Oryctolagus cuniculus: one gene and its partner. The protein of the gene in region 1 binds, or shares a complex with, the protein of each later gene. Links are inferred from orthologs where the notes say so. Each region holds a gene or a part of one and is shown in the gene's direction. Other genes may lie near its edges.

Region 1 (6,595 bases):
ATCTCTGCATGCTGAGCGCTCTCTGTGTGCTACTCCCTCTTACTCGCTACTTTACAATTTCTCACGATCTTTTTCTCCCTGAACTTCAGTTCCCTGTCTTTGTCTCCCAAACTCTGCTTAGGTCTGCTTAGGTTCCTTCTCTCTGGACTGAGCCCAAAAACTGCCTCTAGGCATTAAGCTGGAGAAATCAAGGGCCCTATTTCATTTATTCTCTTGCTCTCCAAATTCTGTCTCCTAAGCACCGTTTTGGTCTGTTGTCTGAAAACAGTTTTCATGTATTTTATCCGGTTTTCTGTTGTTTTTTCTTTTTTTTGACAGAAGTAGACAATGAGAAAGAGAGACAGAGAAAAAGGTCTTCCTTCCGCTGGCTCACCCCCAAAATGGCCGCTCCGGCCAGCGCTGTGCCAATCCAAAGGCAGGAGCCAGGTGCTTCTCCTGGTCTCCCATGCGGGTGCAGGGCCCAAGGACTTGGGCCATCCTCCACTGCTCTTTCGGGCCATAGCAGAGAGCTGGACTGGAAGAGGAGCAACCGGGACTAGAACCCAGCGCCCATATGGGATGCCGGCGCCACAGGTGGAGGATTAACCAAGTGAGCCACGGTGCCAGCCCTTCTGGTTGTTTTAAGAAGTCAAGATAACTCCCATCCCTATCACTCTATCACGTATGGAACTGGAAATTCTAATTTTGAAGCATATTTTAAGTAGGAAGAAATTTAATAGAAAACATTAGTTTTATAAAATCCAGGTTTTTAAATTGCTATTCATACAGTATTCAAATGACCAACTGCCATTACTGTTGTGTGAATTTTATGAGATGCCTGCATTCATCTCTATACATTGTGTAATCAAATGATAGTTTGAGAAATTTCTAGAGCAACTCTTCTGGGTAAGAAGCATTTCACACTTTCATTCCGTTTTAGGTAGTGCTCAGTAGGGCTGGAATTGTTACCTCCACTTCTGCAGTTTAACTGAGATTTACAACAGTTAGTTCTTTTGCCAGCCTTCTTTAACAACCTCATAAGGATCTAAGAAAGTTTGCCTGGGGACATTTGACCCATCAAGTTAAGATGCTGCTGTGACTTCTGCATCGCCTGTTAGAACGCCTGGGTTTGCGTCCTGGCTCTGCTTCTAGGTCTAGCTTCCTGCTCATGCGCACCCTGGGAAGCAGCAGATGATTACTTATGTGCTTGGGTCCTTGCCACCCACGTGGGAAACCCAGATGCAGTTTCAGGCTCCTGTCTTCACCTGGGCAAGCCCTGGCTGTTACAGGCATTTGGGGAGTGAACCAGTGGGTGGAAGATCTGTCTGTCTCCATTTCTCTTCCTTTCAAATAAATAACTGTAAAAGTAAAATAAAAATAAAAGTTTTCTTTTTCCTTGGTTTGCATCTTTAGCCATGGTTACTCCTATGTTTGGCTTTTTCCTCTTTCCCTTTTCAGTCAAGTGAGGATCTTTTCTTGAATCCCAACTTTTTCATTCCTAGGCTATGCCTAAAATACAAAACTGCAAACACTGCATGCTTTCTTCAGTGTCTTTTCCAGATTCTACCAGGAACTACTCCTGGGAGTGTTTCCTAGTATCTGATCCAGATGGCATGTTAGAATTTGGCAAAACCAGCCGGCGCCGTGGCTCAATAGGCTAATCCTCCACCTTGTGGCGCCGGCACACCGGGTTCTAGTCCCGGTCGGGGCGCCGGATTCTGTCCCGGTTGCCCCTCTTCCAGGCCAGCTCTCTGCTATGGCCAGGGAGTGCAGTGGAGGATGGCCCAGGTGCTTGGGCCCTGCACCCCATGGGAGACCAGGAAAAGCACCTGGCTCCTGGCTCCTGCCATCGGATCAGCGCGGTGCGCCGGCTGCAGCGGCGGCCATTGGAGGGTGAACCAACGGCAAAGGAAGACCTTTCTCTCTCTGTCTCTCTCTCTCACTGTCCACTCTGCCTATCAAAAAAAAAAAAAAAAAAAAAAAAAAAAGAATTTGGCAAAACCTCTGAGTCTTCAAAATAATTAGCTATCATCATTCTATAGATGAAATAAAGTATTATAGTAGAAAGGAGATTGGGGTGAGCCTCTGGAGATCTGCGGTCTAGTCTCCTGTTCCACTCCCTATCTCCGGAACTCTCAGAGGTCACATAATTGCTATGAACTTGATTTTCCTCACCTGCAAATGAATGTTCTGGTTTAGTGATGTTTCTGGAAGTGTTAATATTTTGTGATTACACGAGGGGACTTCAAAGAGTTCATGGAAAATGGAGTTAAAAGGTAAGTGTATTTTGGTGCAAAAAATATTTGAAATCTGTGCATGTTGAGGGATCTTCCAAAGTTCATGTGTATCATGAGAAAAACTATACAGGGATTTCAAATTCGCACCAAAGCAAACTTATCTTTTAATGAAATTTTTCCATGACCTTTTTGAAGTCCCCTATATGTGTGGAATTATATTTAATAGTGAATTCTGATCAATTTCTAGATAGTCAATCTTCTAGAATAACGTTACAGTAGGACAAAAGTCATCTGTGTGTGTTCTTAGGAATCTTAGTGATGCCTGCTCATAAAAGCCAAGAGTCCAGTGGTTCGTTAACAAGCCTCGTGAGAGAGAACTGATTCAAGGAAAAATATAAAAAGCCCTTACCAGAGCCTCTTTTTTTTTTTTTTTTTTCCTGCAGAAACTATGAGGATTATTTCATCAAAGCACAGAAAGTGAGACGCCTCATTGCTAATGACTTTGTGAATGTTTTCAACTCCGGAGTGGATGTCTTGTTAACTCCCACCACCTTGAGAGAGGCAGTGCCGTATTTGGAGTTCATCCAAGAAGACAACAGAACGCGAAGTGCTCAGGACGATATTTTTACACAGGCTGTAAATATGGCAGGTGAGGATCCCTCAAGAACCTTCTGGCTTTCTTCCAGTTCTTAAACAGATAGCCTCGTCTTCAGCTTACGTTCTAGACAGATCGTCCGCTAAAAGAAGTAACCGGTATTCCATGATTTTTGGAGTGTGTGTGCATGTGTGTACACACTTGCCACACACACTCACATGTGTATGTTTTCCATTTTTATTTATTTTCATTTTATTTGAAAAGCAGAGAGAGAGACAGACATAGATCTCCCATCCAAAATGCTTGCAACAGCTGGGGCTGAGCCAGAGCAAAGCCAGGAGTCTGGAACTCAATCTGCGTGTTTCACATGGGTGGCAGGTACTCAAGGACCTGAGCCATCACCTGCTGCTCACAGGTGTTCACTGGCAGGAAGCCTGGGCTGGAACCCAGGTACTGCAATATGGGGTGTGGGTGTCCGGAGTGGCATCTTAAATGCTATGCCAAATGCCTACTCTCAAAAGGTATATGTTTTGAAACCTTTCAAAACTATAGGAAAGTTGAAAAAGTAGTATAATGAATACCCACACGCTCTCCTCTTGAATTCTTCTTTGTAAACTGACTGCCTCATTTACTTTCTTTTTCTCTGTCTGTCTCAATGCACACACACACTCAGTGTTTCTTGCCCAGTCGTTTGAAAGAACGTTTCAGATACCATGACACTTTACCCCAAATGCATGACCCTTCTAAGAATAAAGACATTCTTCTGCATAATTACAATCCTGTTATCACACCTAAGAAAACAATAATTCAGTAAGAATCTGAATATAATGCATATTCAGATTTTATCAGTTGTCCCAAAAATATCTTAAAGTTTTTGCTCGGGTTGGTGCTATGGTGTAACAGGTAAAGCTATACATGCTGGCATCCCATATGGACACCAGTTCATGTCCTGGCTGCTCCACTTCTGATCCAGCCCCTTGCCAATGGCCTAGGAAAGCAGCATAAGATGGCAAGTGCTTGGGCCCCTGCGCCCATATGGGAGGTCCAGATGGGATTCCTGGCTTCTGGCTTCAGCCTGTCCCAGCCATGGCTGTTGTGGCCATCTGGGGAGTGAACCAGCAAATAAAAGATCTCTAACTCTTTCAAATTAAAAAAAAAAGGTTTTGCCCTTTATATTACATTTGTTTATGATGTCTTGTTTTTATTATTATTATTTAACAGAGTTAGACAGTGAGAGAGAGAGACAGAGAAAGGTCTTCCTTCCGTTGGTTCACCCCCCAAATGGCCGCTAGTGCTGGCGCTGCGCCGATCCGAAGCCAGGAGCCAGGTGCTTCCTCCTGGTTTCCCATGTGGGTGCAGGGCCCAAGCACTTGGGCCATTCTCCACTGCACTCCCGGGCCACAGCAGAGAGCTGGACTGGAAGAGGAGCAACCGGGACAGAATCCGGCGGCCCAACCGGGACTAGAACCCGGAGTACCAGCACGACAGGTGGAGGATTAGCCTAGTGAGCCTGGCCATGATATCTTTTTAAAATCTAGAACAATCTCCCATCTCTCTTGCTTTTTTTAGAAATATATCTGGCTGATTTTGTTTTTTTGTTTTTTTTTAAAGATTTATTTATTTATTTGAAAGTTGAGTTACATACAGAGAGAGAGAGAGAGAGATCTCCCATCCACTGGTTCACTCCCCAAATGGTCACTACAGCTGAAGCTGGGCCTATCAGAAGCCAGGAATTTCTTCCAGGTCTCCCATGCAGGTACAGGGGCCCAAAGCAGTTGGGCCATCTTCTACTGCTTTCCTAGGCCATCAGTGGAGAGTTGGATGGAAAGCAGAGCAGCAGGGATTCAAACCGGCGCCCACATGGGATGCTGGTACTACAGGCGGCAGCTTTACCCATTATGCCACAGCACTGGCCTCTGACTTTGTTTCAATCATCAATTATAATGTAGGAAACTCAAGAGGAAAAGAAAAGTCTACTGTATTTACCCATGCTTTTACTTATTGTGTTCTTTTTAATCCCTTCCTTTCTATTTAGAGGAATTTTTTTAGCCACTCTTTTAGGATAGGCCTGCTGGTGACAAATTCTCTTAACCTTCCTTCAGAAATGTCTTGATTTCTGCTTTATTTTTAAAGGTGTTTTTTGTTTTCGTTTTTTGCTGGAGGTAAGATCTGGTTCAATAGTTCCTGCCTTAAGCACTTTAAAACTACTGTGCCAGGGCCGGCACCGTGGCTCATTTGGCAGGTCCTCCACCTGTGGCGCTGGCATCCCATATGGGTGCCGGGTTCTAGTCCCAGTTGCTCCTCTTCTGGTCCAGCTCTCTGCTGTGGCCCGGGAAAGCAGTGGAGGATGGCCCAGATGCTTGGGTCCCTGCACCGCATGGGAGACCGGGGGAAGCACCTGGCTCCTGGCTTCGGATTGGCTCAGTGCTGGCCGGAGCAGCCATTTTGGGGGTGAGCCAGTGGAAGGAGGACCTTTTTCTCTGTCTCTCTCTCTCACTGTCTAACTCTATTAAAAAAAAAAAAAAAAAAAAAAAAAAAAAAAAAAAAAAAACCTGTGCCACTTTCTTCTGTCCTGCAGTCTCTGATCAGAAATCCTCCACCTTTTAAATGTTTTCTTTTAAATGACACTGACTCTTTTTGAAGAGTCTAATCCATTTGTGCTTTACGAGGTCCACTCATGATCTGGATTTATCATATTGGTAACTTCTGATTGGATTTAGCTAAACCTTTTTGGCAGAAATCCTATGTACTCTTCCCATCAGGAAACAGTTATAGCAGCTTGTCCCACTTTGGGACACTAAGTTGATCACTTTGTTAAGGAGGTAGCTGCTATATGTTTTCTTTATCAAGATACATCATTGCTTTTGTCATTTAAAAGGAATTTATAAGTGATACGTGGATACCCGGTGAATAAGCCACTGCTCAGTAATTTTGAATCCAGTTCTAGCAGCCACTGATCATTCTGACCTGAATTAAATCACTGTCTAAAGAATTACCAAATGCCGACATCTCTAATTCTGTCATTCCTATTGGTATTAGTTAGAAGACTTCTCCAAAGAGGAGCTTTTCTCTTTGTTTCTATACGATGTATTAAAAGGAATTACTGTAATCATTATTTTTGATAGTTAAATCATGCTCAATTTGGCCAGTTGGAGCCAAATTGCATCAAGTTGTATGCATCCTCTAGACCTATCCTCATTAATTTTGGAAAACTTCCTTGTTCTTTAAAAAAAATATTTATTTATTTGAAAGTCAGAGAGAGAGGAGAGGGAGAGGAAAAGGGAGAGGGAGAGGGGGAGGGAGGTCTTCTATCTGCTGGTTCACTCCCCAGATGGCCACAATGGCCGGAGCTGCGCCGATCTAAAGCCAGGAGCCAGGAGCTTCTTCCAGGTCTCCCATGCGGGTGCAGAGGCCCAAGGACTTGGGCCATCTTCTATTGCTTTCCCAGGCCATAGCAGAGAGCTGGATTGGAAGAGGAGCAGCCGGGACTAGAACCGGCACCCATATGGGATGCCGGTGCTTCAGGCCAGGGCATTAACCCGCTGCACCACAGCGCCAGCCTCGGAAAACTTCCTTGTTCTATGGCATAACAAGAAATCTCAGGATCTTGTACTTTCTCTGTCCTGGTGCTGGAATTAAAACTACCCTGCGTTAATCGATCTAAAACCTGGAATTAAACTACTGTGCGCTAACTTCCCATTTAATAGATTAGCAAAAATTCAAAAGCCCAGCAACATGCTGTGTTGACAAACCTGTCAGAAAAGCAGCACTCTGGGCAAGCGCT
Region 2 (6,948 bases), on another chromosome or scaffold:
TGGTTCATCCTCTTACAAGTGAGGAAGAAAACTAACCACCACATCAAATCCAATGGTCATCTTCACAATCTCAGTGGACTCATCCAGGGTCCTCAGTTTCCTGATTGGAGGGGCTACAACTGCAAGGTGTCTGTCAAGGTCAAGAAGAGTTTTCAGGCTTTTCTTTGCTATGGCCCATGAACTCCAGTCCTTCAATAGGAATCTCCTTCTCCTTTATTGCTTTCTGGTGAGGGGAGAAAACACATTATAAGGTCTACACGATGCTCAAAGACCAAACTTTGTAAACAAGATGTGATGGTACAAAAGTATAATCAAGGGCTGGTGCTGTGGCATAGCAGGTAAAGCCACTGCCTGCAGTGCTGGCATCCCAAATAAGTGCCGGTTCGAGTCCTGGCTGCTCCACTTCTGATCCAGCTCCCTGCTAATGTGCCTGGCAAAGCAGTGGAGGATGGCCCAGATCCCTGGGACCCTGCACCCACGTGGGAGACCTGGAAGAAGCTCCTGGCTCTATCAGCTCAGCTCCAGCCACTGCAGCTGTGGGAAGTGAACCAGTGGATGGAAGACTCTCTCTGTCTCTACCTCTCTGTGTAACTGTCTTTTCAAATAAATAAAATAAATCTTAAAGTAAAATCAAACTATGCTATACAGACTCAGCCATGGGGTGGGCATTTTGCCTGGCAGCTAAGATGCCCGAGTCCCCACATCCCACACTGGGTACCTGGGTTTGATTCTCATCTCCAATTTCTAGATTCTGACTCCAGCTTCCTGCTAACGTAGATCTCAGGAGGCAACAACGATGGCTCAGGTAATTGGGCGCCTGCCACCCGGAGAAGAGAATGAGTTACCACTTCCTGGCTTTGGCTAGGTTGCAGACATTTAGGGAGTCAGCAAACAGATGGAGTGCCTCTCTCTGCCAAATAAACAGGATTCACAACCATGCTGCAGGTCATTTATTTATTTATTTATTTGAATAGCATGTGACACACAGAGATAGATCTTCCATTTGCTGGTTCCCAAATGCCTGTAACAGCTGGGGCTGGCCCAGGCTGAAGCCACGAACCAGGAGCTCCATCCAGCTCTCCCAGGTGGGTAGCAGGGACCCCAGTAACTGGCCCATCATTTGCTGCATTCCCAGCTGCATAAGCAGGACGCTGGATCTGAAGTGGGTAGCCCAGACTCAGCCAGCACTTCACCATGGGATGAAGGTGCCCCAAGCGGTGGCTTAACCTGCTGCACCACAACACCTGCCCCAAACCACACATTTATATTATTGTTTATCCAGATCACTTTTAAACAGACAGAAGTTCTATTATGAAGCAACCAAGTGTAAAACCAGAGAAATTAAAAGAGGAGTTGTGAGAAGCCATTAAAATTCAAAAATGAAACCTGAATGACAAGTCTCCCCCTTTTCTTTGTGACAGACATGGGTACAAACATGGGTGCCAGGACTTCTTGGCTGTGACCTTGAGCCGACCTCACTTTCCTCGTCAGTAACGGGTAAAGACAGCAACCATCTCACAGTCAGTGTGAAGCTGACTTCGGTTACCCTCTTGGGAAGGCCTGGCTCAGTGCTACTGTAACTCAGAGCAGTTCCACATCCACTGAGCCTGCATGAAAATTTCATAGCCGCAGCTAAGGACTGCTTGAGACAGACATAGGCCAAGAAAAGGATTTTACGCCGGCGCCGCGGCTCACTAGGCTAATCCTCCGCCTTGCGGCGCCAGCACCCCGGGGTTCTAGTCCCGGTTGGAGCGCTGGATTCTGTCCCGGTTGCTCCTCTTCCAGGCCAGCTCTCTGCTGTGGCCCGGGAGTGCAGTGGAGGATGGCCCAGGTGCTTGGGCCCTGCACCCGCATGGGAGAAGCACCTGGCTCCTGCCATCGGATCAGCGCGGTGCGCCGGGTATGCAGCGGCCACTTGGGGGGTGAACCAACGGAAAAAGGCAGACCTTTCTCTCTGTCTCTCTCTCACTAACTTTGCCTGTCCAAAATAAACAACGGAAAAAGGCAGACCTTTCTCTCTGTCTCTCTCTCACTAACTTTGCCTGTCCAAAATAAATAAATAAAAAGAAAGAAAGAAAGAAAGAAAGAAAGAAAGAAAGAAAGAAAGAAAGAAAGAAAGATTGATTTTAACAACAAAACGATGGGATCTTCCATAGTGCCTAAAAGCTGGAGAAAGACTAACCCTCTGAGCTGTCAGCCGCTCTCAGTATTGGTTGAGGGTCAGGTTTTGGCTAAGCGGCTAAGCTGCTAAGACGACCGCGTCCCATTATCTGGGTGCCCGGGTTCGTTTTGCTCCAATGCAGACCCTAGAGGCAGCGGTGATGGTTCAAGTAATTGGGTTCCTGTGTCCCAGCCGGGAGACCTGCACTGAGTTCCCAGCTCCAGCCCAACCCGTTAATTCTGAGTGTCGTTTGCCATGGACAAATTACGAACAACTCTGCCCACTGTGTAAGTTTGGAATAAGCACCAAACGAGCCAAAGGATGTCACTGTGCTCTATAAAAAGCAAAACACTGCGAAAATATGTACTTGGCCTTTCAGCGAGGCACCCAGGCGGCTTCGGTGCTGATGGGCGGGGAGAGGGCTCCTGCCGCTGCCCTCACTACGGCCCTCATCCCCGCTCTCGGTTCCAGCCACGGCAAGACGTAAGCAATGTGGCGGAGCCCACGGCAGAGAGCACGGGACGTGGGTCGGCGGCTCACCTGAACGCACTGCTGGTAACGCTTGAAGAGGTCGGTGCACGGGTCCCCAGAGCCGTCCCCCTTGAGGAACTTCTCAGCAAACCAGCGATTGAAGCACTGGTCGTACTCGCGCTTCATGTCTGTACACGCCTCCCCAACGCTGTTCATGGCGATGGCTGCGAAGGAGGCGGCAGGGGCGCACCCTGATGGCGTCACATTTAAGCGCGTCGCTCGGCCTTACGGGTGGCGCACTACGGGTGCCGGGAAGGGGAGACATGTGGGCGCGGGCAGTACGGCTGGGCCTTCGGGCTCCCCTGGGTGGGTTCCGGGCTTTCACCGCCAAGGCGGATGCTCAGGTAAAGGCCCGGGACGTCTAGGCGGGTGGCGGAGCGGGCCGCGTCCGTGTGACCCACCCTCCCCGATTCATTCCCCAGGGAAGTGGCCGGGTGACGGCCGAGGTGATCGAGCACCTGGAGCGTCTAGCGCTCGTGGACTTCGGCAGTCAGGAGGCCGTAGCGCGGCTGGAGAAAGCCATCGCCTTCGCCGACCGGCTGCGCGAGGTGGACACGGACGGCGTGGAGCCCATGGAGTCGGTCCTGGAGGACAGGTAAGCTCGCGGCTGCGGCCCCCCGGCCTGGACGGAGGCACCTCCGCAGGCCGCTGCAGGTGGCGGCTGGAGCCCCCGTTTCACAGCGACATGTGTTCATTATGCATGCTGTCACTCCCGCTTACAATCCCCGCGCCCGCCCAACGTAAGCGGGAGCAAAATCCGAACGGCCGCTCCTCGCCGTGGAGGCACCTCCCCCTGGGGTCTCACACACTGTGCTGCCACTAGGCTGGCTTCCCCGACTGCTTCCGCGACCGGCCGGGTCGGCTCTCATTTGTGCATTCTGCCTTCCGGAGTTTGCACGGCTGGCTCCTCCTTCCTTGGCTCTTTGACCTCGGCTTATCTCCTCAGAGTGGCCCCCTGGCACTCCGAATCCCCTCTCCCCTTCCAGTCACCAACTCTGTCTCGTTGGGGGTTTCCTGCGTTGATTTGTTGTCGTTATTATTACAGTGTGAGTTCACTGAGCTGCTTGCTGTCTCGAGATTTTATGCATTTTCTGATGTACTGATTCCCTAAGGAAGTATCTGTGAAAGTGCAGCAAGACGCAGGCACAAGCCCATGGCAAACCTTTCAGAACACGAAAAACAGGACCCAGAAACAACCTAAACAAATGGCAAATACACACTTCCACAATGGAATATTCAGCAGTTTAAAAATAACGAAACAACTACATGTTATTTGTGTGTATCGCGTATCAGCCTACAAATAGCATCATATACGCTGCCATGGAGAAGTCTCTGAGACATGCCTATTTTTTCTTTAAAGGCAGCATTAGAGCAGTACTCTTTGGGGCCCTTGTGGTGGTGCAGCAGGTGAAGCCGCTGCTTGTGACACTTCCAGTCCCAGCTGCCTGCTAGCGTGCATGGGAAGGCAGCAGAAGGTGGCCCAAGTACTTGAGCCCCTGCCACCCACGTAGGAGACCCAGACGGGAGTTCCAGGCTCCTGGCTGCAGCCTGGCCCAGCCCTGGCTGTTGTGGCTGTTTGAGGAGTGGACCAGAGGATGGAAGCTCTCTCTCCCTGTCTCTTTGAAATAAGTAATATCTGTCTTTGAAATAGATAATAAATCCTTTTAAAAACCCAGTACACATTGCTTCTTGGCCTTTTGGCTAAGATCAAGTGTAAAAATCAGCACTGTTCATACCATATGTGTAGTCTACATCTGCTGGTGTATAATTAAGTTGTGTTCCCCAGAAGCAAATGCAAGAAATTCACAAAATGATTAATTCATGGGAATGTTAAGGAAACTTTGTTTTTGTTGAAGATATATTTATTTACTTGAAAGAGTTACAGAGAAGCAGAGGCAGAGAGAGAGGGAGGGAGAGAGGGAGGGTTCACTCACTGCCTGGTTCACTCACTCCCTGGTTCACTCCCCAGATGGCTGCAATGGCCGGAGCTGGGCTGATCCGAAGCCAGGAGCAGGAGCCTCTTCCGGGTGCAGGGGCTCAAGCACTTGGGCTGTCTTCTACTGCTTTCCCAGGCACAATAGCAGGGAGTTGGATCGGAAGTGCAGCAGCCAGGACTCCCATATGGGATGCCAGCATTGCAGGCGGTGGCTTTACCTGCTACACCACAGCGCCGGCCCCCACACATAATGTGCCTGAGAGCAGCGGTATCAGTGAGTGAAGTAGCGCAGTGTCATGCAGTGGGGACAGGTGACTTGCTGACAAAGCAGCTGTGAACAGCAGGAGCGGTTTCCGCCCACCTCTACCAACTGCTGCCAGATCTTAATTTGAAAGGAAGCGCCTTCCTGGGGAAAGCTGCTTCCCAGCAGCACACTTGATTTGCTGTCGGGGGCTACAGCTGCTTGGACAGGAGGATGGGTGACTTGCTGTGCTCCCTCCCCCAGAGTCAGGCCGGATGTTAGTCCCCAAACACTTAACAGAACTGAGCAGAAACTTAACTCAATCATGGTGCTGGGTGGCGGGGCCCTGGGTGATTAAGTTAGATCATTAGGATGGAGCCCTGACTGGAGTCCTGGTGGCCTTGTAAAGGGTCAGACAAATCAGATCAACACAGACATAGCTGCTGAACTGGGGACCCACCTGATCCTGGACTGTGAACCTCAGGCCCATAAACCAAAATAAACTTTGTCTATAAAGCAGCCTGTCTCTGGTAATTTGTTATAAAGTCAACTACTACATAGCTCATAATCATAGGGACAGTTGACAACTATCCTAGCCTTTTCTTGGTAGAAATAATAGACAAAAGCAGTCCTAACTGCAAGTGGACGCAAGGAAGATTCGCTGCCTTTGGCTAGTGAACAGGCCCAGCCAGACGATCTGCGACTACATTCTTTGTGTGAGTCTTGCTCCTAACTGCCACGCTTTCTTCCAACCTTTCTTCTTCCTTGCAATCTGGCACTCGGGTCAGGGCAGTGAATCTGCTATTACACTGCACTTCAAAATGGAATCTGATTTTCATTCTGTGGCCTGCGTCCTGGAGGTTTCACACTGCTCCTTAGGGTGAAGACAGCATCAGTGGAGCCTGCAGGGAGTCATCAAACCTAGCCTTTCAGTTCTTCATGCGCTCTCCTTCCTAGAATTCCGGCCTGGCCTTCACTCCCACCACTCCTCTTTTTGTCTACTTCAAATTTCAAATGCCACCTCCTTAAGAAGTCTTTTTTTTTTTTTCTCAAGATTTGAACAGAGAGAGATCTTCCATCTGCTGATTCACTTCTCAAATATGGCCACAACGGCCAGGGCTGGGCCAGGTGGAAGCCAGGAGCTCCATCCTAGTCTCCCACGTGGACAGCAAGGGCCCAAGCACTTGGTTCATTTCCTGCTGCCTTCACAAGTACATTAGCAGTTAACTAGATGGGAAGGGCAGCAACCAGGACTCTACTGGGGCTCCTGATATGGGATGCCAGCATCGCAGGTGGCTTAACCTGGTGTACCACATTGCTGGCCCCTTCATTGTACTGAATTAGGTTCTTTCAGGACATGTGACTCTTCATGGTATTCAGTAAGTACAATACACCTATTCACACATCTATTTGAGTGACACCTGATTTCTCTGCTCCTCTCCTGTTCATCTGTGTTCTTGGGAGCATGTCTATTTCTGCTCATGTTTGCAATGTGTAACACCAAATAGATACTCAGTAAACATTTACTGAAAGACTGTTCTTTATTAGTATCTTTGGGAAAGGAAGGAACAGAAGCCTGAAGAGGAGTCAGAATCTTCCATCACCTAGAGGGTAACTATAAAGAATAAAATCAGGGGCCAGTGTTGTGCTTAGTGGGTTAAGCTGCCACCTGCAACATCAGCATCTCAGGTGGGTGCTGGTTCGAGTCCTAGCTGCTGCACTGCCAATCCAGCTCCTGCTAATGTGCTTGGGAGGGCAGTGGAAGATGGCCCAAGTCCTTGGGTCCCTGCACCCAGGTGGGAAACCCAGATGAAGCTCCTAGCTTCGGCTTGGCCCATACCTGAGTTTGCAGCCATTTGGGGAGTCAACCAGCAGATGGAAGACATCTCTAACTGTGCCTTTCAAATGAGTAAATTTTTAAAAATTACAGAGGGAGGGGCTGACACTGATGTAGCAGGTAAAGCCACCACCTGGAGCGCCAGCATCCTGTATGGGCACCAGTTTGAGTCTTGGCTGTTCTACTTCTGATCTAGCTCTCTGCTGTGGCCTGGGAAAGCAGTAGAAGATGGCCCAAGTGCT

Evidence for each region. The genes of interacting proteins can lie anywhere in the genome.
Region 2: QRSL1 (region 1) and GATC share a complex: the UniProt entries of both Homo sapiens proteins name them as parts of the heterotrimeric GatCAB amidotransferase (AdT) complex. The link is inferred for Oryctolagus cuniculus from reciprocal best matches to the Homo sapiens genes QRSL1 and GATC.

The regions. Positions count from the first base shown.
Region 1 is NC_091436.1:64,566,973-64,573,567, reverse strand, and holds part of QRSL1 (glutamyl-tRNA(Gln) amidotransferase subunit A, mitochondrial), read left to right. Parts: intron 1-2,659; coding exon 2,660-2,865; intron 2,866-6,595. UniProt on the Homo sapiens protein: Allows the formation of correctly charged Gln-tRNA(Gln) through the transamidation of misacylated Glu-tRNA(Gln) in the mitochondria. The reaction takes place in the presence of glutamine and ATP through an activated gamma-phospho-Glu-tRNA(Gln).
Region 2 is NC_091452.1:16,476,184-16,483,131, forward strand, and holds the start of GATC (glutamyl-tRNA(Gln) amidotransferase subunit C, mitochondrial), read left to right. Parts: upstream 1-2,916; 5' UTR 2,917-2,955; coding exon 2,956-3,036; intron 3,037-3,114; coding exon 3,115-3,287; intron 3,288-6,948. Other genes in the region: TRIAP1 (TP53-regulated inhibitor of apoptosis 1), read right to left, coding at 140-223, 2,702-2,848. UniProt on the Homo sapiens protein: Allows the formation of correctly charged Gln-tRNA(Gln) through the transamidation of misacylated Glu-tRNA(Gln) in the mitochondria. The reaction takes place in the presence of glutamine and ATP through an activated gamma-phospho-Glu-tRNA(Gln).